Linked DNA regions of Xenopus tropicalis. Each later gene encodes a partner of the first gene's protein in a complex. Links are inferred from orthologs where the notes say so. Each region holds a gene or a part of one and is shown in the gene's direction. Other genes may lie near its edges. The genes, in order: calcrl, adm, ramp1, adm2, ramp2 and ramp3.

What was found.
Region 2: the proteins of calcrl (region 1) and adm are in contact, whole or in part, in a cryo-EM structure (PDB 6UUS), measured with the Homo sapiens proteins. The link is inferred for Xenopus tropicalis from reciprocal best matches to the Homo sapiens genes CALCRL and ADM. Residues at the interface, in NP_001258680.1 of Homo sapiens: Val36, Thr37, Asp70, Gly71, Trp72, Asp90, Tyr91, Phe92, Gln93, Asp94, Phe95, Asp96, Pro97, His114, Ser117, Thr120, Trp121, Thr122, Tyr124, Thr125, Asn128, Val135, Ala138, Leu139, Leu141, Phe142, Thr145, Thr191, Leu195, Ala199; in NP_001115.1 of Homo sapiens: Cys110, Arg111, Phe112, Gly113, Thr114, Cys115, Thr116, Val117, Gln118, Lys119, Leu120, Ala121, His122, Gln123, Ile124, Tyr125, Gln126, Phe127, Thr128, Asp129, Lys130, Asp131, Lys132, Asp133, Asn134, Ala136, Pro137, Lys140, Ser142, Pro143.
Region 3: the proteins of calcrl (region 1) and ramp1 are in contact, whole or in part, in a cryo-EM structure (PDB 6E3Y), measured with the Homo sapiens proteins. The link is inferred for Xenopus tropicalis from reciprocal best matches to the Homo sapiens genes CALCRL and RAMP1. Residues at the interface, in NP_001258680.1 of Homo sapiens: Asn39, Met42, Thr43, Gln45, Tyr46, Glu47, Tyr49, Gln50, Lys51, Ile52, Met53, Gln54, Thr68, Trp69, Asp70, Gly71, Arg113, Arg119, Thr120, Phe228, Leu231, Ile235, Thr239, Val243, Ala244, Gln250, Trp254, Tyr255, Leu258, Phe262; in NP_005846.1 of Homo sapiens: Trp59, Ile63, Tyr66, Arg67, Ala70, Phe83, Trp84, Pro85, Asp90, Phe93, Leu94, His97, Gly98, Phe101, Arg102, Cys104, Pro105, Ile106, Ser107, Gly108, Arg109, Ala110, Val111, Arg112, Asp113, Pro114, Ile118, Leu119, Phe122, Ile123.
Region 4: the proteins of calcrl (region 1) and adm2 are in contact, whole or in part, in a cryo-EM structure (PDB 6UVA), measured with the Homo sapiens proteins. The link is inferred for Xenopus tropicalis from reciprocal best matches to the Homo sapiens genes CALCRL and ADM2. Residues at the interface, in NP_001258680.1 of Homo sapiens: Val36, Thr37, Lys40, Asp70, Gly71, Trp72, Asp90, Tyr91, Phe92, Gln93, Asp94, Phe95, Asp96, Pro97, Ser98, His114, Ala116, Ser117, Thr120, Trp121, Thr122, Tyr124, Thr125, Asn128, Thr131, Lys134, Val135, Ala138, Leu139, Leu141; in NP_001240774.1 of Homo sapiens: Leu106, Arg107, Val108, Gly109, Cys110, Val111, Leu112, Gly113, Thr114, Cys115, Gln116, Val117, Gln118, Asn119, Leu120, Ser121, His122, Arg123, Leu124, Trp125, Gln126, Leu127, Met128, Gly129, Pro130, Ala131, Gly132, Arg133, Gln134, Asp135.
Region 5: the proteins of calcrl (region 1) and ramp2 are in contact, whole or in part, in a crystal structure (PDB 3AQF), measured with the Homo sapiens proteins. The link is inferred for Xenopus tropicalis from reciprocal best matches to the Homo sapiens genes CALCRL and RAMP2. Residues at the interface, in NP_001258680.1 of Homo sapiens: Arg38, Asn39, Ile41, Met42, Thr43, Gln45, Tyr46, Glu47, Tyr49, Gln50, Lys51, Ile52, Met53, Gln54, Trp69, Asp70, Gly71, Arg119; in NP_005845.2 of Homo sapiens: Trp86, Ile89, Tyr93, Ser94, Arg97, Leu109, Gly110, Pro112, Glu117, Ile120, Phe121, His124, Gln125, Phe128, Ala129, Cys131, Ser132, Leu133, Val134.
Region 6: the proteins of calcrl (region 1) and ramp3 are in contact, whole or in part, in a cryo-EM structure (PDB 6UVA), measured with the Homo sapiens proteins. The link is inferred for Xenopus tropicalis from reciprocal best matches to the Homo sapiens genes CALCRL and RAMP3. Residues at the interface, in NP_001258680.1 of Homo sapiens: Arg38, Asn39, Met42, Thr43, Gln45, Tyr46, Glu47, Tyr49, Gln50, Met53, Trp69, Asp70, Ser117, Arg119, Thr120, Phe228, Leu231, Ile235, His238, Thr239, Val243, Val245, Lys249, Gln250, His251, Trp254, Tyr255, Phe257, Leu258, Phe262; in NP_005847.1 of Homo sapiens: Trp56, Cys57, Leu59, Phe62, Ile63, Tyr66, Glu67, Thr70, Cys82, Tyr83, Pro85, Asn86, Pro87, Leu88, Gln90, Ile93, Thr94, His97, Arg98, Cys104, Thr105, Val106, Asp107, Arg108, His110, Leu111, Glu112, Asp113, Pro114, Val118.

What each region holds. Positions count from the first base shown.
Region 1 is NC_030685.2:46,305,106-46,308,605, reverse strand, and holds part of calcrl (calcitonin gene-related peptide type 1 receptor precursor), read left to right. Parts: intron 1-2,697; coding exon 2,698-2,824; intron 2,825-3,500. UniProt on the Homo sapiens protein: G protein-coupled receptor which specificity is determined by its interaction with receptor-activity-modifying proteins (RAMPs). Together with RAMP1, form the receptor complex for calcitonin-gene-related peptides CALCA/CGRP1 and CALCB/CGRP2.
Region 2 is NC_030680.2:7,312,291-7,316,576, forward strand, and holds the start of adm (ADM), read left to right. Parts: upstream 1-1,486; 5' UTR 1,487-1,597; intron 1,598-1,958; 5' UTR 1,959-1,971; coding exon 1,972-2,072; intron 2,073-2,191; coding exon 2,192-2,332; intron 2,333-3,392; coding exon 3,393-3,774; 3' UTR 3,775-4,286. UniProt on the Homo sapiens protein: Adrenomedullin/ADM and proadrenomedullin N-20 terminal peptide/PAMP are peptide hormones that act as potent hypotensive and vasodilatator agents. Numerous actions have been reported most related to the physiologic control of fluid and electrolyte homeostasis.
Region 3 is NC_030685.2:59,191,349-59,195,432, reverse strand, and holds the start of ramp1 (receptor activity-modifying protein 1 precursor), read left to right. Parts: upstream 1-1,284; 5' UTR 1,285-1,327; coding exon 1,328-1,379; intron 1,380-4,084. UniProt on the Homo sapiens protein: Accessory protein that interacts with and modulates the function of G-protein coupled receptors including calcitonin gene-related peptide type 1 receptor (CALCRL) and calcitonin receptor (CALCR). Required for the transport of CALCRL to the plasma membrane.
Region 4 is NC_030679.2:89,361,201-89,364,348, forward strand, and holds the end of adm2 (protein ADM2), read left to right. Parts: intron 1-2,251; coding exon 2,252-2,531; 3' UTR 2,532-2,648; downstream 2,649-3,148. UniProt on the Homo sapiens protein: Intermedin/ADM2 is a peptide hormone that plays a role as physiological regulator of gastrointestinal and cardiovascular bioactivities mediated by the CALCRL-RAMPs receptor complexes.
Region 5 is NC_030686.2:22,072,069-22,075,568, reverse strand, and holds part of ramp2 (receptor activity-modifying protein 2), read left to right. Parts: intron 1-677; coding exon 678-755; intron 756-1,478; coding exon 1,479-1,581; intron 1,582-3,414; coding exon 3,415-3,500. UniProt on the Homo sapiens protein: Accessory protein that interacts with and modulates the function of G-protein coupled receptors including calcitonin gene-related peptide type 1 receptor (CALCRL) and calcitonin receptor (CALCR). Required for the transport of CALCRL to the plasma membrane.
Region 6 is NC_030682.2:59,345,802-59,349,968, reverse strand, and holds the start of ramp3 (receptor activity-modifying protein 3 precursor), read left to right. Parts: upstream 1-1,367; 5' UTR 1,368-1,675; coding exon 1,676-1,727; intron 1,728-4,167. UniProt on the Homo sapiens protein: Accessory protein that interacts with and modulates the function of G-protein coupled receptors including calcitonin gene-related peptide type 1 receptor (CALCRL), calcitonin receptor (CALCR) and G-protein coupled estrogen receptor 1 (GPER1).

The sequences.
Region 1 (3,500 bases):
AGATATTAGTATCACAATAGCCTTGGATACTATGCTTGTTCAAAAACTCATCCAAGCCCCTCTTAAAGGCATTAAAAGAATCTGCCATTTCAACATCACTAGGAAGGGCATTCCACAACCTTACTGCCCTCACCATGAAAATCCACCTACGCTGCTTCAAATGGTAGCTCCGTTCCTCTAATCTAAAGGGGAGGCCTCTGGTGCATTGATCTTTTTATGGGAAAAAAAGAACACCCCCTATCTGCCTATAATCCCCTCTAATGTACTTGTACAGAGTAATCATGTCCCCTCTCAATCGCCTCTTTTCCAGAGAAAACAACCCCATCCTCGACAGTCTAACCTCATAGTTTAAATCTTCCATCCCCTTAACCAGTTTAGTTGCACGTCTCTGCACTCTCTCCAGCTCATTAATATCCTTCTTAAGGACTGGAGCCCAAAACTGCACTGCATACTCAAGGTGAGGCCTTACCAGGGACCTATAAAGGGGCAAAATTATGTTTTCATCCCTTGAGTCAATGCCCTTTTTATGCAAGACAGCACTTTATTTGCTTTAGTAGCCACAGAATGACACTTCCTGGAATTAGATAACACAACTTGTTAGCTACAAAAACCCCTAGATCCTTCTCCATTAAGGATCCCCCCAACTGCTGCCCAGTTTTCCAATTTTGTCAAATCGCTCTGCAAAGCAACAGCATCCTGAGTGGAACTTATAGTTTTGCACAATTTAGTGTTGTCAGCAAAAATAGAAACAGTACTGTGTATGCCCACCTCCAGGTCATTAATAAACAAGTTAAAAAGCAAAGGACCAAGGACTGACCCCTGCAGTACTCCACTAACAACACTGGTCCAATTAGAAAAGTTGGAGTGATATCAACACCCTCCCAGCAGCCGATCAGCAGAACAATGAGAAGGTAGCAATAGTAAGAAATCCAAGTCTGGCTTGGGGCTCCTCCAGTTACATGGGAGTAGGAGAAACAATAGGTTACCTGAAAGCAGTTCTAATGTGTAGCACTGGCTCCTTCTGAAAGCTAAGATGGCTGCCTACACAACAACATTACATCTAAAAAAAATACATTTGTTGGTTCAAGAATAAAATTTTAAATTAGTGAGTGAATTATTTGCTATGTAAACAGTGCAATTTAGAAATGAAAAAGTACACCATAAAAACCATGACAGTATCCCTTTAAACAAGCAGGACAATAGCACCTCTCATTGCGATATGCTGTGATAGAATCGATTCCGGTGCATGGAGGTAATAGAAAATCATATTTTAAAAAAGAAAGAAAAAAACATGAGGCATTTTGGACTCATACCCTGGGATAATTAGAGCCTCAGGGGATGAATCATGATTATGATCTTTATGGCTTTGTGTAATACTTGTAAGTTACAATTGTGTTATTTTGTTTCATTATGTTATTTTACTTCATTGTGAGTAGTAGTGGAACATTGATACACAATTTGGCCATTATATAATAAGTAATTGTTTTAAGGTGCTAAAGTTTTCTTTCCTGAATTTTAAAGTCTGCTATCCAGTGAAAACATTTCTTTATTTTTACAACAAACACATTAATTGAGGTAGTGAGATATTATTGGTACATTCTGGGTTGTTCAAGATTACTAGATCTAATATTGCATAACTTTTGGTTGGGTCCTCAACAATCTTGATATGTCATGCAATACATTTAGGAACATGTGTACTCTAACTGTGCTTTCAGTATTATTGCTCCAGTCAATTAAAGTACCCCATTATTAAGGCTTGCTCAAAACTTGCACTCTTTTCACAAATTGCTTAATTTTGAATATATAAAAACTCACCCTTATTCTATTCATATTTACTGCAATAATAATAATAATGACGGGTAATATTTTAGGATTGTTTAAGGATTGTTTAATTAGAGGCCATATCTGGCCTCCAAGAGGCCTTAAAGAGGTACTGACACCAGAAATATTTTTTTTTTTTTACATTGGACATAAAATTGTCTTTGCATGCTATTTATAATGTTGCCATAAAAGTAATTGTCAGATTCTTTTACATTCCCTATCTGATCCCCCCATGTTCCTCTATGAGGGGGCTGCCATATTTGTGCAGCAGGAGTCCGTTGGCATTAGAAGCTATAACTGACAGGTTGACAGTCAGGTTGGCAAAACAGTCAGGTTTAAGAACTTTGACTAATAGTTACTAACATAAGATGCCCTATCAGAATTAAACGATCAACATGACCCATAGATAACTTTTTATGTAGATTCATATTTTAAAACGTAGTTTTTCCATGTAAGTATCACTTTAAGGAGTTTCTGTGATATATCAGTGTCTGTGTGTCTTAAACAACATATAGGCAGATTAATTGGTTTTACATATTGAGCTCTAAACTCACATTTGAATAAATCTGCCCCTTAAAATCTAAGTTTAGAGCAAATATTTGGCATTCCATATCAACATTTAAAAAACCTATCCAGCTTGTTATCTTTTCTTTTTTTTTCCAGGATCTTGCCCAATATTAAGTATATGAGCCTTGTTAAATAACTTGTTTTACATATGCCTTGGCAACATATATAGATTGCTTAGCACTGTGAACACATATGAATTATTAGTCATGTATAATTAAAACAATATAATGCAATGTATTTGTGTGTGTGTATATTGATTATTATATATTACTTTTAAGGTATTTTCTTAATACAATATTTTTTTTTTAGGAACTTGAGCTGCCAGAGAATTACACTCCATAAAAACTTATTTTTCTCTTTTGTTTGCAACTCTATTATCACGATAATATCTTTATCAGCCGTGGCCAATAACCAAGCTTTAGTAGCAACCAACCCAGTAAGTTGCACGTTTATATATTTAAGGGAATGAAGCTAATTGGTATTAAATAATTAATTTACCCTTTACTTTTATGAACAATTACATTCTTCTATTGTCACACGTTCTTTCTAGAGTTTTCTTCTAATTTGAATAATTTCGCATTTTAAAAAAAAAACAAAAGCTTGTTTATTTATTAATATGGTAAACTTGTTCAAATAGGAAAACCTGAATACCTCGAAGTTTTGAGTTTACAAACTCGAAAAACTTGAATATCTTGAATGGAAAATAAGGCTTGACTTTGCCTAGGACAACTCCCATTGACTTCTACACGAAGTGCTTAATTTTTCTGTTTTTTTGCATTTTGCAAACAGACATTCCAATTTGAAAATTGATAAATCACCCCTTAGTGTTCAGTTACACTGAATCTAACCCATTAAAATCATGTTGTGTAACCTTAAAGCTCTAGACAACTGAATGTAGCACATTTTGGTTACAGCTGGTGCAATTTTATATTTTTCTCAAATTTGAATATAAAAATTGGGGGTTCATATTTGGTTTAAATCATTTAGATTCAATCTGAATTATTATTATAATATTCCAATAAAAACTACAGAACCAGAAAATCAAGGGCTTTCCAAGCCTGAGCCCAAACCAGCAAGAACTATAAAAGAAATTTACATGTAAGAACTAGGGA
Region 2 (4,286 bases), on another chromosome or scaffold:
CAAACCCTTTCCAAGTGTCAGCAAGTTCTGGAGTTATACAGTGGACCCATCAAGATCTCAGAATGAACTCCACTGCTAGAGAAGAGGGGAACACTGTCCTTCAGACGTTTAGAGTCAGCCCCAAGTCTGGTTGAGATTCCAAACCCTTTCCAAGTGTCAGCAAGTTCTGGAGTAACACAGTGGACCCATCAAGATCTCAGAATGAACTCCACTGCTAGAGAAGAAGTTAGCACTGTCCTTCAGACGTTTAGAGTCAGCCCCAAGTCTGGTTGAGATTCCAAACCCTTTCCAAGTGGTCAGCAAGTTCTGGAGTTATACAGTGGATCAACGTTGGTCCTGCTCCCCTTCTGAAGATCTGAGCAGAATGTGCTGAAAATGGTCTCAGCCCAGCCCATGCCTTGGGTACATTTTCAGAACCAAATGGACTCCCCATACCTGAAGTCTGGAGAGATACTTGGGGCTCCCAAAATAAACAGCAACAAAGGAGGTGCAAATACCATTCCCATTGCTCACAGTGCTGAGTTATCCCCAAATCACAAGGGAGGCGTCATCTACCCCCACTCCTCCCTATCTGCCCCAGCTAGCAGTATGACAACATGGGGTGACTCAGCCCAAAGGCATGATACTTCTAGATGTCACGACTCTCTCGGCATACTATGTATATGCCCTTTAGGTAGCACACAAAAACCAACAAACAAAGTGGGGGGGGGGGGGGGTGAGTAGAGGGCTGATATCCATACGCCAGTTCTGTGGGCAAGTGCAAACACAATTGCCTGGATCCAACATCCCAGAGATGCCTAATTACTGTTAATTCAAGCAGTCCAGGAATGTTAGAAATGTTCCCTACCTTATTAACCCCTTCGACACAAATATGTGTTCATGAGAGTTGTAGTTCAGCAACAGCTTACCCCTTCCCCTGTACACTAAAGCTTGATCCAAGGGCTTCATTTATCAAAGTATACCCCCAAATACTAATATATGACTTCTCTATGGAAAATGGGGAGATTAATGTATCTGTCACCAGTAACTGCCCCCCCCTCGAGGCAATAGGTTGGGGTTCTTATGTGTTTTTATTTTATATATTTTGTAGCCTATGTCTGAGCTAATGGGGGGGGGGGGGGGGCTACAAACAGATTAAAAACAGAACCCATGCCACACCCCAAACTATATCTAATATTATAACCCCCCCATTCCAGTAGTTCAGGAGAAAGTTGATTGCTTTCATGAGCTTGATAATTTATTCATGCTACTTAACCAATCCCCAGAGGAGAGATTAAATCCTTCTTGTAACCCCCCCAGCACCCACAATATCCTTACCGTAGCTCTATCTGTGTTTGAAACCTGTGCCTTAACCTATACAGCACAGAACTTTCCATAGAAATTAGCAGTGAGCTGCAGAGCTGTAGAGCAGAGCTGTCACTCAAACTCAGCCCCGCCCCCTTGGTTCTGTACATAAGGCAGCCGAGCAGCCCTGAGAGCCAGTTGTTACTAAATAGCAGCCAACAGAGAGCAGCTCTCTCTCTCTATCCTTATAGCTTGGAGGATTCTCATTGGAAGAACCTTGTTGGATTATACTTCTTATCATCACACAGAAAAGGTACGGCAGCTTTTCAGCTTCACATTTTTAGCACCGAGGGGGTTAGAAATGTATTTTATTTAGAGTTTTATTTCGAATTTGGGAGGAATTTAGGTCAGTTTGTAAGGTGTTTCTGCACAGCCATATCAGTTTCTGCACAGAGCATAGATTGCAGGTGGTTGGCTGATAGCTACACCTGCGCAGAAACATCCCCGTATAGTCATGTATAGAAATCTACCCAGTCCTGCAGCTTTAGAAATAGAAATAAGGATATTTATGGAGTTATTGCACATTTACAGAACTCTAGATACTATAGAGTAGATAGAATAAATGGTATTTTTCAATAATAATAATAATAATGTTGCCTTGTTTTCCCCTACAGAATCCAGTCCAGAATGGATCTGTGCCAAGCAATTCTCCTGCTGCACTTCATCTGTCTGACCTTTTTGGGATTAGTTGCGGGCAGAATGGAATTTATCCCGGGAGACAGAAAAAAGTAAGTATCCCGACTCCCAAAGGGCTTGTACTTGCCCTTTACTTCTAGAAATGTCAAGTGGTTAGTCCAGTCCTTAGACGTACGTGTTGCTTACAAAAACCTGTTTGGTGCCCTTGTAGATGGAGCTCCCTTGGGATGCACAGGCTAAGAAGGGATCTGAAGACGGACGTCCAATCAGCATCAGCGGCTAAAGCAGCCTCAGAAACGTCATTTGTCAAAAACGAGGACGTTAAGGATCCCCTGAGCTCCCACCAGAGCAGGTAAGAGAGCCGGCAAGGGCACAGCCGCCCTGCATTATCTGCAGCCTAAGCACAGTCCACTGACTAACCTGCTGGGCAAGGGTCAGCTCTGTTATTTAGTGTAAGCATTTTTCTGAATGAGCCAGTAACGGGGATGCAGAATGAAGGGGGTGGGTGCTGGAGTTTTGAGAGCTTTGGGTGCTGGGTGTAGAGTCCTCTTGCAGTTCCCTGTTGTGAGTGAGTGTGTGTGGGGTGGGGGTTATCCCTATTTCTGTGCAGTTTAGTTCTCCAATGTGTGTGCTGAAGACTTGTCAGCCATCTCTCCTTGGGGTTCACGTCTCTTAGAGATCTCAGTTATAATTATGGCGTGGGCATCTTGGATCTATGAAGTCTTCTCTCTTGGTCTTGGACTTGGTCAGTTTTATTTGTGTTCCCCAACCCTAAAGGGTTCCAGTTTTCTCACCAACCTCTGCTGTGGAGGAGTGTTGGTTGGTGTCCATGATGTACTCTATAGGGTGGTATAGGGTGTAGGTTCTACTCTCTAGGGTGGTAGGTTCTACTCTATAGTGTGTAGGTTCTTCTCTTTAGGGTGGTAGGTTCTACTCTATATGGTGTAGATTCTTCTCTTTAGGGTGGTAGGTTCTACTCTATAGGGTGTAGGTTCTTCTCTTTAGGGTGGTAGGTTCTACTCTATAGGGTGTAGGTTCTTCTCTTTAGGGTGGTAGGTTCTACTCTGTAGGGTGTAGGTTCTTCTCTTTAGGGTGGTAGGTTCTACTCTATAGGGTGTAGGTTCTTCTCTTTAGGGTGGTAGGTTCTACTCTATAGGGTGTAGGTTCTTCTCTTTATGGTGGTAGGTTCTACTCTATAGGGTGTAGGTTCTTCTCTTTATGGTGGTAGGTTCTACTCTATAGGGTGTAGGTTCTTCTCTTTAGGGTGGTAGGTTCTACTCTATAGGGTGTAGGTTCTTCTCTTTAGGGTGGTAGGTTCTACTCTATAGGGTGTAGGTTCTTCTCTCTAGGGAGGTAGGTTCTCTTGTCTGAAGAATGTTCAGTTCTCTTACCATTGTCTGTTTTGATTGCAGCAATGATGCCCACATCCGTGTAAAGAGGTACAGACATACCTTCCACCACTTACAGTCGGTGAGAGTGGGCTGCAGATTTGGGACCTGCACGGTGCAGAACTTGGCACACCAGATCTTCCAGTACACCGACAAAGACAAAGACAGCACAGCACCAGTCAACAAGATCAGCTCACAGGGGTACGGCCGGAGGAGAAGGTCTCTCCCTGACAATAAGCTCCAGTTGACAGTCAGAGATGGTCACATCAAGCCAAGCTGGGTCAGCACAAACCAGCCTGGTGGAACCCAACCAAGACTTATGGACATTGTTTCAGCTGGAAAACCCAACCAAGGCAGGGAAACCTGGAAAAAAGGCAAAATATTGGAAGCTTTGCTCAAGACTTAAAAAAGAAGAAGAAGGAAAACCCTCCAAATGGAGATGTAGCAACTTCTTCAGAAAGGTCTTCTGCTCAGAGGAGCTCATAGAATTCCTGGTGTGAGTCCCGCCGAAGGGATCGGAATGCCGTAAAAGTGTTAGAAATGCAACAAAAGGATCGGGTTCGAGGTGGTCGAACAACCTGTGGACATGGCAGTAAAATAAACAAAAAGGAACAAGGTCTACATATGGGATTTTGCTGTTTTATTTTGCACTTTATGGACGGAAGGGACACACACACCGAAATAACACAAACTGGATACCGGCTTTAGGGTGGGTGCCAAATCATATGGCCCTGGCTGGGTGCTGCAATATCGGGTTAATCTTGCCTTGGATCTGCAGAGCGAAGTCTCAACCTCAGTGTGAGGACCAGAAGGTCCCAACAGCTCCCCCTTGTGGTGGCCGGAGATATAGCGACAAAAACTTCTTTCTGGCTGCCAGGGGGTGGGGGTGTGTTTGTGCTATTTGCTCCCCTTTCCCCT
Region 3 (4,084 bases), about 13 Mb from region 1:
ATATCAGGGTGTTTTCCTACCCCCCTGTTGTGACAACAAGAATGAACAATGAAGATACACCTGTTCCCCTCTACTGATCACTTGCATATGATGTTAATGGGGAAGCCACTTGGGCTTGAGATTTTTGCCTGAAATGTAGTGAGGCAAACATGGCAAACTGTGTTTTCAGCCAAGAATTGCCTTTAAGCATGTGTTTATACATGTCACACAGAGAATGCTATGGGCAAGTGACCTGTGCTACAAGTAGCACAAAGAAAAACTCAATTTGCCAACTCATTTAAAATTATGGGTTACTGTACTTCCAACAGAGGGGGGTGTTGGAAGAGCCAAGATAGGGCAGGGAAAGGTGACACAAATGAATGGGAAAGGCCACTGGCAGCCTGCACTCTAATATTCTGGGCTACCTGGACTTTGTGGGAAAACAAGGACTGAATGCAATATTCACTGTGTGGCGGATAAATTCAATCCTTGGAACTCTTTAGGCACACAGCCCCCCATCCCCACACCTGCCCTCCTAAACAAGATGGATGGCATGACAAATGGCAACCCCAGTAGCACCCTATCTCCCACCCAAGAGTGGCCAAGGGCTGAATCCATCTCTCCAGCTCTGAGCAGCTGATTGCCAGAGACACAAGCGGATTCCATGCCTCAGGCTGGAGATAGGAAGGTACCATGACTGGTACAGGTGACTCCCCAGCCATTTCCAGGAATGCCTCCTTATAGAGAGCAGGCTGGACACTCCCCTCTGTTAGTTGGATGCCTCCACCAAGCGACCGGCGCTACATTTAGTTTGGGTGCCCGGGTCAGTAAGTTACACACACGGACACTCCGGGCAATGAGAGAGCGACCTTCCTCCCACACAGACACACGCCTGCACTGCCTGCCATTCAAAAGAAGTTTCCCGTAGCGGCGGAGACAATCCCAGCGGAAGGCTGAACCCAATCCAGTGTAAAGTGGAGCAAACGAGGGAAGACTGCCTAATTGGCCGTGTGTCGCCCCTCAGTGCGGGACGGGAGAGCCCAACTCGCAGGGAAATGCCTCGCCGCCTCACTCACTGGAACCCAGCTGCCACCTGAGGGGGGATATGGGAGGCTTTGCGCTTTATTCGTCCAATACCGTCTGTCCTACAGAACCATTCTGACTGCCGACTGCATCAAAGTATTATCAGTGCTGGGTGGTCCATTTTGGCTCCTCCTGTATATTTTGGTAGGGGGGGGGGGGTGAGGGCATTTGTGCTGGTCCTGCACCTGGTTGCTGCACCCAACAGTGGGACTAAGAACTGTGCTGTGATGGACGCCTCCCTGTGAGATACACCGGCAGCACAGACATGCCACAGGGATTCCTCCTCAACCCCCAGCACCTTCTATGGATCCTCCTAGGTGAGTGGCCATCCCTGCCATACCCAGCACAGTTGCCATGTTCTACTTCTCACTCTCAGGGTTCCAGTCTGACAGCTGATAATTACTATTTACTGTGCCTTTTCCATTAAACTATCTCCTATGGGTAGAGCTCACACCCTTTCTCATGTTTATCATCACATTGAGCCTCACATGGCTGTAACAGCAGCTTCTTTACTTCCCATAGTTGTAACATACAATGTGTGATTTACCTGCACAGTGAATGGTCCAGCCTGCACCCAGGGTAATGCTACTCTTTAGTTTGCCAGTCATCCATACATCTTAGAAAGTTCTGTTTCTATCTCAGAAAGTTTGCACAGATACAGCCTTTTTATTATAGTGTCTTTTCTCTGTACTTGTTATGTAGTATCATTTGGTTATAACACCAGGACCCATTGAGCCCAATGCCTTATAGATATCATTATAGGTTTGCCAGTTGGAGGAGTCACAAGAATGGAGAAGCAGGAAAAGGTGATGTACCGTGTTAGCCAGTCAAAAAATGTTTACAGGGTAACCCTTTTGAAATAAAAAATACCAAAAGTGGTATAAAGGTGATACCTTTGGCTTGCTAAGATAACCATAGCAAGCTTTCAGAACATTTTAGTTCCTTTTTCAAGCTGATTACCTTTGAAAAAGGAACTAAAATGTTCTGAAAGCTTGCTATGGTTATCTTAGTTAGCCAATAAAGGTATCACCTTTATACCACTTTTGGTATTTTTTATTTCAAAAGGGTTACCCTGTAAACAAGAATGGAGAAGAAATTCTCTTATGTAGCAGATAATGCATTGGGAGTCAAATACACAGTTTCAAGGTTGAAGTTTTAAAAACACCAATAAATATTACTTGATGTATAATGTGATCCAGTAATCAATCCAGTTACATCTGCTGCTGGACAAGGGTATCCCAGTACAGATTGGGCATGCTTGGGGGCTGTGTGTTTAAGTGATGAAGCTGAATTGTCTGCCTTGGGAGAGAGTCTATAAACATCACTAATAAGAAAATGATTAATAATCTTGCTAAAAAAAAAGCCTGTAAGGCATAGTTGTCCTTGCTTCCTTATACTCTCAGCCACACTTTACAAAACATATACATTTTTAACTTCTAAAAGGTAACCTCCTCCAAATACAAAGTTTTCCCTGTTGTACAATGCAAGAATGTGTAATTCTAAGCAACTTTTAAATATTAATTTATTACACATTTTCAATGGTTTTAAAATTATTTGTAAATGTTATTACTATTGATAGCAGTGTCTGTCTGGCTGTTTATAGTCTGAGCACTTCTGGCTCCTGGAACTATGTAGCAGCTGATTAACAGACCTGGGGGAGAACTGAATTCTGCTACATTGTTTCAGAAGTCAGAGCCAGAGAAGAGAAAGGGATAAACAGATACTGCTTATGATCCCAGTTACATTTACAAATAACTGTAAAACTACTGAAATTTTATAGTGACAGTTGCTTTTATTTTGCAAAAAAGAAACACACAATTGAGATTGCACAAAACGCGATTTTTCTTGCTGCATTAGCCAGGGCATTGCTGGTACCAAGCAAACTCCATAAAAAAAATCATTGGAATCCATATACCTTTGCTTTATGTGATAGCTGCACATAACCTGATACAAAGCAGACTCCATAGAACTAATAGAGGCATACTCATAATGCTTATAACATGTTATCTCTCCAAGTGCCACAAACCTCTCTGGGGTGTTTCGTCCAGCTTGTTTGCTGTAGAACAAAGACAAAGCGAGGGAGCAAGTGTTCCTTGTGCAGATTTTGGGGGGAGAGGGGTACTGCCAGCTGAAATAATGTGGGAGGGGGAATGAGTGTTGAGTTTTTCTTTGCAGTAATTAGAGGAAGGTATGGAAAAATGGCTGCAGAGCTGCTAATAATAGGAGACAGATAGGTTTTTGTCTTGAGGGTAAGTAAAGAGTACTGGCCTAGTTGTGCCGCACAAATGAGCTCGTTTTATAAGTAAGACCTGGAACATACTTGTTCATTCAGTTCTGATAACCTGTATTTTGGCAGATGTTATTATGGGTACCAAAGCTGTGCCACTTTCTGTGGTAATGCGATGCATATCCCTGAGGTACTGTATTAGTAATGGCTCTAACAGCTAAGAAGTGCAACATTCAGATCCAATGCTTATTTGTCCTATAGGTTCTCTTTAAAATGAGCTTTACATATATTGTATGTGACCTACTCAGTTACTTTTCATTTGGTCTATTTGTTTCTTTTTACTTATTTGTCCATGAATTCTGCCTCTTTCCAGGTCTCAGTTAAAATGCCATCTGGTTGCCAGGGTCACTGAATACAGCACCCCCCCAAAAAAACTAAAAAAAACCATGAATTCTGTCACTTTTTTTAGAGTATTTGTATTGGATATCTATTTGTTGAAGCCATCTACTTACTATTAATCTTGAATCTACAAATCCATTTTAATTCCAAACAGCAGAGCAAATAAAATATTAAAGGGGAACTATCATTAAAACGCAAAATCAATATGATCTTGGGAAAAAACTGTCAAAATATAATCACTTACAGAGCACTTGCACCCAGGACATGGCTGCACTCTGCACCTTACTCTACGGGCATAACGTTTAGAGCACAGCATTGTGGGAGTTGCTAAAGGTGCTTCATGCAACTATTGGACCTCCCTAGCATGTACCTCTGAATGATGTCCAAGTTAGGAGC
Region 4 (3,148 bases), on another chromosome or scaffold:
ACGTTCACCCTCTGAATGCCAGATTTTACACCATTATTTTACATAAGTTCTGGTGGAAGAAAAAAATGTAAAAAGATTGCGCCGATTTTACAGTGTTTTATATGTGGTGAAGCCTGGCGATGTGTGGTGAATTTTGCCAGCATTTTTTATACAATATAATAAATCTGCCCCTTAGAGTTTTCACACAGTATAACAATTGTAGGAAACTGGGCAATTGCCTACCTTCTCTCACTGTGCTTATATTCAGCATGCATTGCTGGATATTACTGTTACAGTGATACAGAGCAAAATGAAAAGTCAGTGAACATATGAAAATTTAAGAAAGGAAAGATATAAAATATAAGATACAAAGAAGCAAGGATGGCAAAATATGCCCTGTAAACTCTTTATAATCAGTGCTGTTATTTTCCTCAGGCAGCCTTTGGCTGGGAGAAGGTCTAGCTCCCTGAGTTGGAGGATAATTATAATAGAAATGCTAGATATATAATATCAACTATGGTATCCAATACAATAATACAGCACTATTCAAACCTGTGTAAAAATATATATGGATATATAGATGATGTTATACCTAGAAGCAGGAATTAAGAAAAATTGTGATTGTTGACCATTAAGCAATTTCAGTGTTCTGGGTTGGAGTAGGTAGCTGGAAATTGGCTGATCTGTATCATTCTTACTGTGTGGATGAGCAGCTCAGTTCTGCTAACTGGATAATATTAGAGATGAACCTTGGACCTGCAGTCATGCGAACATCAGAAGTGTTTTTTTCTGCTCTCAGTCATACACTTGATTACGCTGATCTGCTCAAACATACACAGTCAGGCGAGTTCATTTTGTAATAGTGAATCTGCACTGTTATACCCAAGGAAACAATCAACAGCAGTAGCAATTTTTTTTTGGGGGGGGGGGGGACCTGTCACTAAAAGAAAGTAATTTCAAATTTTTTAATTTTGTAATTGTCAGGCAAGATAAACTTCACTTACAAGTAAAGTAAAATATATAAACTTGTTTGCTTCAGTATTAGGAGTCACAATCACAGAAAACAGGCAGTGTGGGCAGTGTTATTAAAGAGATACTGACAGCTAAAATTAAACTTTTTTAATGTCAATCATAACATTGTCTTTGAATGCTGTCTATAATTTTGCTTTAAAAGTATTTGTCTGATGCTTTTACATTCCCTGTCTGATCTCCCATGTTCCTCATGAGTCTGTTAGCATTAGAAGCTATAACTGACAGACTGAGTAGGAAAAGTCAGGTTTAGAGCCTTCCTGTAACAATTACTTACAAAAGCAAACCTGTCAGTGGAAAAACATCACCATGACCTATAGGTAACTTTTATATATTCATAAATATATTCATATTTTGAAAAGTAGTTTTTTAGTGTCAGTATCACTTAAGGCAAACTTTGTATCACTCCAAAATCTTGTTTATGCACCATTATGGGGGGCTTATACCCATGACTATGTACAGGACAGGCTACTCCATTATAGACACAGAGGAGGGAGGGGGAATGAGAGGAGTGCAGTGACATCTATGGAAGTGCTAAATGGAAAGTGAAAGTAACTACCTGCTCCACGTCTATGCTTGAGGTATAGAGGAGGAAAAGGCTAAGTATCATCGTCAGTTGTGATTTCCAACAATTACAACACGTATGGTTGCTTTAACAAAACAAAAATAGTTTAATGTTTCATTTGAAAAGGACTTTTATTCGCTTAAGAGGGGACATGATTACTCTGTACAAATACATTAGAGGGGATTATAGGCAGATAGGGGTGTTCTTTTTTCCCATAAAAGTGATCAACGCACCAGAGGCCACCCCTTCCCCTATACTAGAGGAACTGAGTTTCCATTTGAAGCAGCGTAGGTGGTTTTTCACGGTGAGGGCAGTGAGGTTGGGGAATGCCCTTCCTAGTGATGTTGTAATGGCAGATAAAGGTTAATGTCTTTAAGAGGGGCCTGGATGAGTTCTTGAACAAGCATAGTATCCAAGGCTATTGTGATACTAATATCTACAGTTAGTATTAATGGTTGTATATATAGTTTATGTATGTGATAGTATAAATTGGTAAGTATAGGTTGTATGTGCTTGGTTTACTTGGAAGGGTTGAACTTGATGGACTCTGGTCTTTTTTTAAACCCTATGTAACTATGTAACTATTATACTGCTTTTTATGTCTGGGAGACAAGTCCCCTTTAATACAAATGGGCAAGCATAAATTAAAACATATTTCTACCACTTTTTCTTTTCCAGGGAGCCCCCTGACAGGGAAAAACGGCACAAGGAAGGGCCCCTGATAGAGTTGTCACTCTTCACTCCATCAGTAGCTGAGACAAAGCTGCTTAATCTGGGAACCTTGAGGAGGAAGAAGAGGCGGGTTCGTCGTTCTCATGGACCTCGCCTTATGCGTGTGGGCTGTTCCCTGGGGACTTGCCAAGTACAGATCCTTAATCACCGACTTTGGCAGTTGATGGGACAATCGGGAAAAGAGGATTCACCAATTGAACTCAGCAACCCACACAGTTATGGCTGATCCATTTGGGTGAAGGCACCAAAGACCACATCATACGTAATATAAGAACAGCATCCAGTTCTTGTTCACCAGACAGTGTGAAATACTCATAAGTTATAGTAAATAGACAGCATAAAATTCTCTGTGTCTGTCTCATCCTTCTCACAGCTTATTTCTTCTCCATATTTTAGCATTCCTTCAGTTATTTCTGCCTTTAAAAATTGTCTGTATGTCTATTTTGACTATTGTGCTTGCTGTGTCCTTATTGTTGTTTACACGATTTGCACTAGACAGAGTAGTGCTTACATACAAAACATTTTGCTTGTGCAGAGCATCCTGTTTTACCATTACTGCATCTACCCAATGTACATTTAATACTATCCCAATATCAGGGTGGATATCTCACCTAATGGACAGCTACTAAGTTTTTATCTTACAATAAGCTTGCTCATATTGAACTCATGTATTAAACTGAAATAACTTGTGAAACACTGGGTAAAAAGAAGGTACTCCCATGTAAGAGATACTCTAAAAATTGTTTTAAAAAGCTAAGTTATATGTTACCACTTCCATGATGATTTGGCCACTTAGGGGGTGTTACTTTTTCACTGTAAAAAAATACATAGTTTCTCCAACAT
Region 5 (3,500 bases), on another chromosome or scaffold:
GTAACTGGAAGAGTCCCAAGCCGAACTTGGATTTCTTATTATTGAGTGCTATTCTGATATAAACTGGGAGCCGCTATCTTGCTACCTTCCCGTTGTTCTGCTGATCGGCTGCTCATTTCGATATCACTCCAACTTGCAGCTCAGCAGTAAAGTGTGACTGAAGTTTATCAGAGCACAGGCCACAGGACTGTAACACCCTGGGAAAGAAGAATATGGCTAGCCACATGTGAAATTTCAAAATAAAATATAAAAAATCTGTGTTTGTGAAAAATGGATTTCAATGCAGAATTCTGCTGGAAAAGCTCTTTTTACTTACACATTTTGAAAAAAACATGTTTTCCCATGACCCCTGGTCCCTGACCACTTTGCACTTGTCTTGCAGAACTGGGTTTCATAAATGGAGTATCTATCTCTGGTACAGCCTTATAGAAAACTCCATTTATATACCTTGGATTGGCTGGCCAGCTACTCAAATAGTCTGACTTGACTACATCTCCACACAAACCGCTGCTCCTGGTTCCTCCCTTCAAACTCCTGACTTGAATAATGAACAAAATTTGCTGACTAATTTAAGGGTCAGTTTGCCCCTGACCTTCAGCCACCCAGTGTATTCAGAAGTCAATAAAATTAAAGCTCCTTAAAGCACTTTTTTTCCTAATGCCAGTTTGTTTCCACAGTTGCCAGTTCAGTGGCAGTCCAGCAAAACCTCACAGATTCTGCTCATAATGAGACCAAGCACATTTTTAAGGACATACGTAAGTTTTGATTTTGATGTGATATCTCATTGAAGTTCTAACTACATACTTATATAGTGTTTGTTGAGTACAAAAGTAATTTGCATTGATCACTTTTAAAGGGGTAGTTCAGCATTAAACTAACTTTTAGTATGATATATAACTTTTTAGTCAATATGCAATTGGTCTATGCAATTTTTTTTTAGAGATTTTGAATTATTTAGCTTTTTATTTATCAACTCTCTAGTTTAGAATTTCAGTAGCTGTTTGTAATTCTGTGCAACATTCTAGTATACATTGCTGTTGCAAGGGATAGCTGTCTGATATTTGCATTCTCTGAATTACGGTTTATGACACAAAACCACTTTGAAGTTTCATATTAAATGAATATAGGAAAGTTAAAGGGGGTGGGCAAGTTTAAGGGGTGGGCAAGCTTAAAGGCCAGGCAAGGGTAAGATTTGTGATGAATTTATCATTGGGTGTCCACTGAACGGTAGCACAGTGCTTAATGTATCTATAACCTGGTGATTTTTCTTAAAAAGGACATTATTATGCAATTATTTGAAAAATACTATAGAATGTATATAGGTGTGTAATTCCATAGATTATTATTATAACTCTTAAGTGTAAGCTCTCTTTTGTATCAGTTGCAGAGTATTTTATAATTCTATATGTTTTATAAATATGTGCTAATAATAGTAATAATAACAATAAAGTTTCTATTTATAATTTTCTTTCCTGCAGAGTCAATGCATCTTTATTTTGCAGAGTCATGTTGGCTTGGTTACACCAGGAATATGTCCACAGTAAACTCGGATAATTGGTGTGAATGGCATCATATCAACAGGTAGACATTGTAAAAATATCAAAAGGGTTTGTGTTTTGTTGAGATATATATACACAGCAGTGATCCCCAACCAGTGGCTCGTGAGCAACATATTGCTCACCAATCCCTTGCCCCCAAACCAGGTAATTATTTTTGAATTCCTGACTTGGAGGCAAGTTTTGGTTGAGTAAAAACAATACTTACTACCAAATAAAGCCTCCTGTAAGCTGATAGGGTGCATAGAGGCTACCTAATCGCCAATCTTAGCCCTTATTTGGCACTTCTATTAATTTGTGATGCTTGTGTTGCTCTCCAAGTCTTTTTACATTTCACTGTGACTCACGAGTAAGATGGTAAGGTAAGGTTGGGGACCCCTGATATACAGTATATATACTTGTCAGGCTCAGAACACCAATATATGAAATTAGTGCTAATTTATTTTACTGCATTACGTCATGCATGTGACATCATGCTCATCGTGTGTGCGCGTGTGATATCACGCTCAGCGATGGAGCTGGAAGGTTGGGGGGTCGGGTTGCGCGCCTATGTCTCAGAAGTGACATCACGCACATCGTGCACACTTCCGCAGAGCAACCTGACCCCACAGCTCCGTTGCTGGATTTCCTATGGCAATCCATGGCGGAGGCTGGGCGCATTTTTTTATAAAAACTTATAGGCACCTGAGGTGCCTTATTATAAATACGGCCCTGGACTCATGATATTATTAATGACTCTCAACATTAAATTATACGGTGTCAGTGTTTTTTCAAACCTCAAGACATGGACCTAAAACATACAATTTTTTTTGGCTAGAATAAAAGTGCAATTAAGAAGACCCTAGCATACTATAACACCTTTATACATTTTTCAGCCTATTACCCATGTTGTCTAGAATAAAATAAATATAGAATCTGGAACAATGCTCTTTATGAATTAGAATACAGGAGGGTATGGCCTTCCCTGTCTTAAAGGAGAACTGTACCCTCAGAATGAATACTTAACCAGCACATAGTTTATATCATATTTAGTGGCCTATAAAGAATCTTACCAAACTGGAATATATTAGTAAATAATGCCCTTGTGCATCTTTTACCTTGAGCGGCCATTTTGTGATAGTCTGTGTGCTCCCTCAGAGATCACCTGATATGAAGTTATGCAGCTCTTGTTGTATGTGGGCCTTGGTTTGTTTGTGTACACTGTGAATTGTACAATCCCAGGAGGGGGGCCTTAATGGGTTGTTTTTAGATGCAATTGTTTTTGAACAATACAGTCAAATTTAGACAACTGCAATAACACTAAGAACTGGTGTATAAAATGCCTTATTTATATAATTCTCTCAATGAAAGCTACTATTGTATATGATACAACAACACATTTCAACAAAATAAGGATTACTGTATCCTTGATATGTACAAATATTGCTGCTTTAATCCCTGGACCCCCCCACACCCTTCCATTAATCCATTCCCCTAGCCTTAATTTCTTGTTTATGTATAGAAAATAGTCTTGGCAAAAGCATAAACCGCTGAAACCAAATATTTTTATGTTTTGCCTATCTTAAAGTCTGACTGAGCAGCAGTTACTTTGCGGCTTTTCATTTAGGTAATAATGGGCCATAATCAAGGATGTTATTGTAATCTGGGTTCTCTTTCTAGCAGACAATTGTACCATAGTGACAATATGATCAATGCCAAGAGTTGACTGTTTCATTGATTGTGAAACTTGTGACTCTCTGCTTTGTTGAACTAATTTGTGCTGTAGTAGCATACTGTATATATCTGGGTTCATCATTAGATGATACTCCACTACTGTGTGCACACACTGTATAACTAGTTTTTTTTTTTTCTATCCTAGACATTACAGTAATTTAAGAATATGCCTAGAGGACTTGGCTGAAATTTTGAATCTTGCATTCCCAAATAATATAGCCAATAACTACA
Region 6 (4,167 bases), on another chromosome or scaffold:
GCCATAATTAATGCCAACATTTTACATTAGCTTTCAACAGTTACAAAATGAAAGCAAAGCATCTGTTTGGCTGCTATGAGCAACATCACCGGTGATGTTTTACTCCACTTTTACACAGCATGATAAATATACCCCTAAATGTCCATTAAAGTAAAAAGAACAAAGCCTTGCAAGTGCAGTAGACTTGTATGCAAGAATAAGTTGTTGCATAATCAAAAGTTGTTAGGCCCCACAGCAAAATCATTTTAGCCCCTCTCCCCAAACTATGAGAATTTGACGTTTAAATAATACTGAACCTGCTTATTAGTCAGTGCCCTTTGGGCTCCCAAGCAGTTATAAGCTTCACTTTCTGTCTAGTTACACCCTCATAAACTCATGCAATTGAACAGACAAGGCTAGCTTCTGAGCAAGTTTCACTTACATACTTATTTAAGAGCTCTGGCACCCAGGGCATTTCTTTTTTTTTTTTTTTCTAGCATGGGTGACAAAACATCTCATGTTTCCTTCCCACTGTCATTAATGTAAATTACTATTGAGAAAAAATGTGCACCACCACTGCTTTCCTTAGTAGCCCAGGCTAGAGTTTTGCAGCGGGTCAGGTAGCAGCAGGTTACCTGCCAAAAAATCTGGTACCCTGCAGGTTGCAGGTATGACTTTTGGATGAGACATATATATTTCTTATATTATCTATAAAAAAGGTTAAAATGTGGGTTTCAGGTTTAGGTTCCTTTATGCCAGGGCATTTATTACTTCTGGTTTCACCAGTGGCTTCTGTTCCTGATGGCAACAGAGAATGGCAGTGCAAAAAGTGGGGATGGAAATGCTAATTCTCTTCACTGCCTTATAAACATGCCCCTGTGTGCAATAACCAGTGATGGGTGGTCCTGTGGGAAAGACAAAGTAGCTTCTGATATACAACACCCCCTTATCCAGATTCCAACCTGTTATTGCTCTCTAGCTGCCAGAGGCTCAGAAAACCTCTGAGATAACAGTTTTGACACCATTTTACCTTAGTATAATCATTCCCTACAGGTGCTACCCTATACTTTGGAGCTTTTTCTTTCCTTCTCCAAGTGCTGCTCTGCGGGGCCTGCAACATCAAGCCAAGCACTCTATCTGCCCTACGGACAAGCAGTGGCAATAACCCAATGTAGAGGCATTTGCAGCTGCACAGCCAGCGCTCCCCGCCGTACTAGGACCCTGCAGCGCCCAATGCACAGCAAGCCCCGCCCTCCAGGCTGCCCAGATGCACAGTGTGACAGGATCCAGACTTTGGCACCACACTGCAAACTACACACATTGTCATCCTTCTGGCTGGACACATTCGGCTATCAGGGGATCCCAATAATCCCATAGCGGCAGTATTCTCAGCCTTCTTATTGTCCGCACATTCCGTGCTGAGGGATTGCGAGTATCGCTGTCATTATGACAATCCGCTCATTGTAACGGGGATCTCGAGTGGAGTTTGATAGGAGCTCGGTCACACACACGACCATTGCCCGCGGCTGCCTTTTCTCGTCTTGTGTCGCTACTGCTGCTGTTGCTGTTATTACGGAGAGAGAAGTTTATGTGACTGTCACCGCCGATCTCCTCAATGAAGTCTCCTCTGCTTTACTGAAACCTCCTCCTCAGATGCTTTCCTTTGCCCGCCCGGCGCCTCTTACCTTGGATCGGGATGGATAAACACATCTTGGCTCTGCTGCAACTTTTCCTGTCTCTGGTTTGTGGTAAGTGGCCCCATTGTGTGTGCCTGGGGGAATGGGGGCATCACTCCCTCTGGGTATGACATTGGTGGGCACTCATACAACAACTGCTGGCTCTTTTGTTCCTTTCAAAGAACACAACCGCTGGGTGATAAATGGGATTTCCTTCATGGCAATAAGCTATTGTTTAAAAACATGGATCCCAGTTCATTTGGCATCCAGGGAAACAGATGTATCTATCTCCTACCTCCCATCTATAGATATATAATCTATCAAGCTCTCTATCTTTCGTTTTTTCTTTCTATTTTCTATACCAATCGGTCTGTCCCTATCTGACCATTCATTTTTTGATCACTGTCACTGCCTCTGCCCCTTTCGCTAGCATCCATCTGGCATTTCTTGTTCAGTGTGAAACTATGCCTTGGCCAAGCACAGGGTGCAGTCTGTGAACTTGAGTTTTCTTATAAGAAAGTACTGTAATTGTATTAGCCAGGATCTATCTGTTATACCTGCCACAAATCAAGGAGCCACACTCACAGCAATGTACACTTGAGGTGCTATGGCAGAACTAATACTCATATAACAGCAAATAGGGATTCATGTATGTATGTATGTATGTATGTATAACTTTATTTATAAAGAGCAACAAGGGTACGCAGCGCTGTACAGTCTTACAGAATACAAAATTACACACAGGGAGGACAAGTGATATAATAAATAAATACATATATGTATATATATATATATATATATAAGTGCCATGCGGTATGAGACACAGTAGGAAGGAGGTCCCTGCCCCGTAGAGCTTACAGTCTAGCTCAGTAGCTAACTAAATGCCTAAAATAAATAAATAAATAAGGATGTCAAGATTTGCAAGCTGGGGGAAACAAGGTGCAAACATCTTGAAGAAAAGTAATGGAATCAAATGTTAAAAAGAAATGCATGGAAGTTGCACAATGGTGGTTAAAACAATAGCTTCGCTATATGGCAACACAATATAGCTGTGGTCTGTTGTTTTAGTGGGGTTGCAGAATGGAACAGTGATTGGCACCAGGGCCCTAGGTTTGAATCCAGCCAAGGCTGGAAGTTTTTATGTTCTTGTGTTTGTATAGGTTTCCACCCACAAAAATCGTCCCTTGATAAAAATGCTCATATTGTGTGTGAATATTATAGGGGCATTAGATTGTAAGTTTCACTTGGACAGGGTTTTTCTGTAAAGATCTGCAGAATATTTTAGTACTTTATAAATAAAGGAAAATAATAATGGAGACTTTATGAAATTGTCTCTGGTCTCTCCTCAGTTATCGTAAATGACCAGTAATCATTTAATCTCTTCCCTTGTGTTTAGAGACTCCAGAAAAAAAACTTTAGTACTGGTTTTTATCATGGATCAAAATATATAGGTATGGATCTCTTATCCAGAAAGTTCCGACTTACCAGAAGGCAATCTTCCACAGAGTCTACTTTAAGCAAATTATTTTCCATTTTAAAAATGATTTCCTTTTCCTTTAAAATAATAAAACAGCACCTTATACTTGAATGTAACTAAGCTATATATATCCATATTGGCGGCAACACAATCCTATTAGGTTTATTTAATGTTTAAATGATTTTTAGTAGACCTATGGTATGGTGATCCAAATTATGGAAGGGTTGCTTATCCAGAAAACTTCAGCTCCCAAGTTTTCTGTATAATAGATCCCATACCTGTATTGTTAAAGACTGAGCTATAAAAGTCATTTTACTTCCCTCCTATGGTTAAAAGCAGGTTGATTACTGCCTCTTCTATCATAACAAGGATATCTACTTATCATTGCCAGGATAACCAACACAGTCCAACAAATGCAACCAGTATTTAAGTTTACATCTGTATTTGAGTAGTCAAAATACCTAATTCCATGTGGATAACATATTTTGCTATAGAAAAATTAATGATTTGCTCTTACAAAGTAGACAGATTACATGATTAATAAGTACTTTTTGCACAGTTATGCTTTTATAAGTCTCTACTTTCACTTATCATCTTACAATTTTATCTGTAGCCGTTATTTTATTTCAGTCATGTGTCTTGTGGGTTTGTTTAATACACTGATAGGAATGGGTGTGCATTTTAAATATAGATTTTCAGATTACACTCTGCATAAACTGTTAAATAGGACATTGTACATAGTTATAACATTTCACCCTTCCAGGCTGATGAACAGGTATCTGTTCCTACTTTATGCTGTAGGTCTACTTGCTCATTCCCAGGAGCACAAAGTCTTGAGAAGACTGCTGCGATTATGCTGATCGAATCATATTTGCTGATTGCATAAGATAGAGCAATACATTGAAGAGAAAAATGTGCCTGCACCCATGTCCCTTGTGAGAGCTGGTTGTTGTGCCTTAATGCAATAAGTATTCGTTTAACAAATATAAATGAGGCTGAGCAAACATATTTAATGTGTTAGGGGTTGCTGTAGAA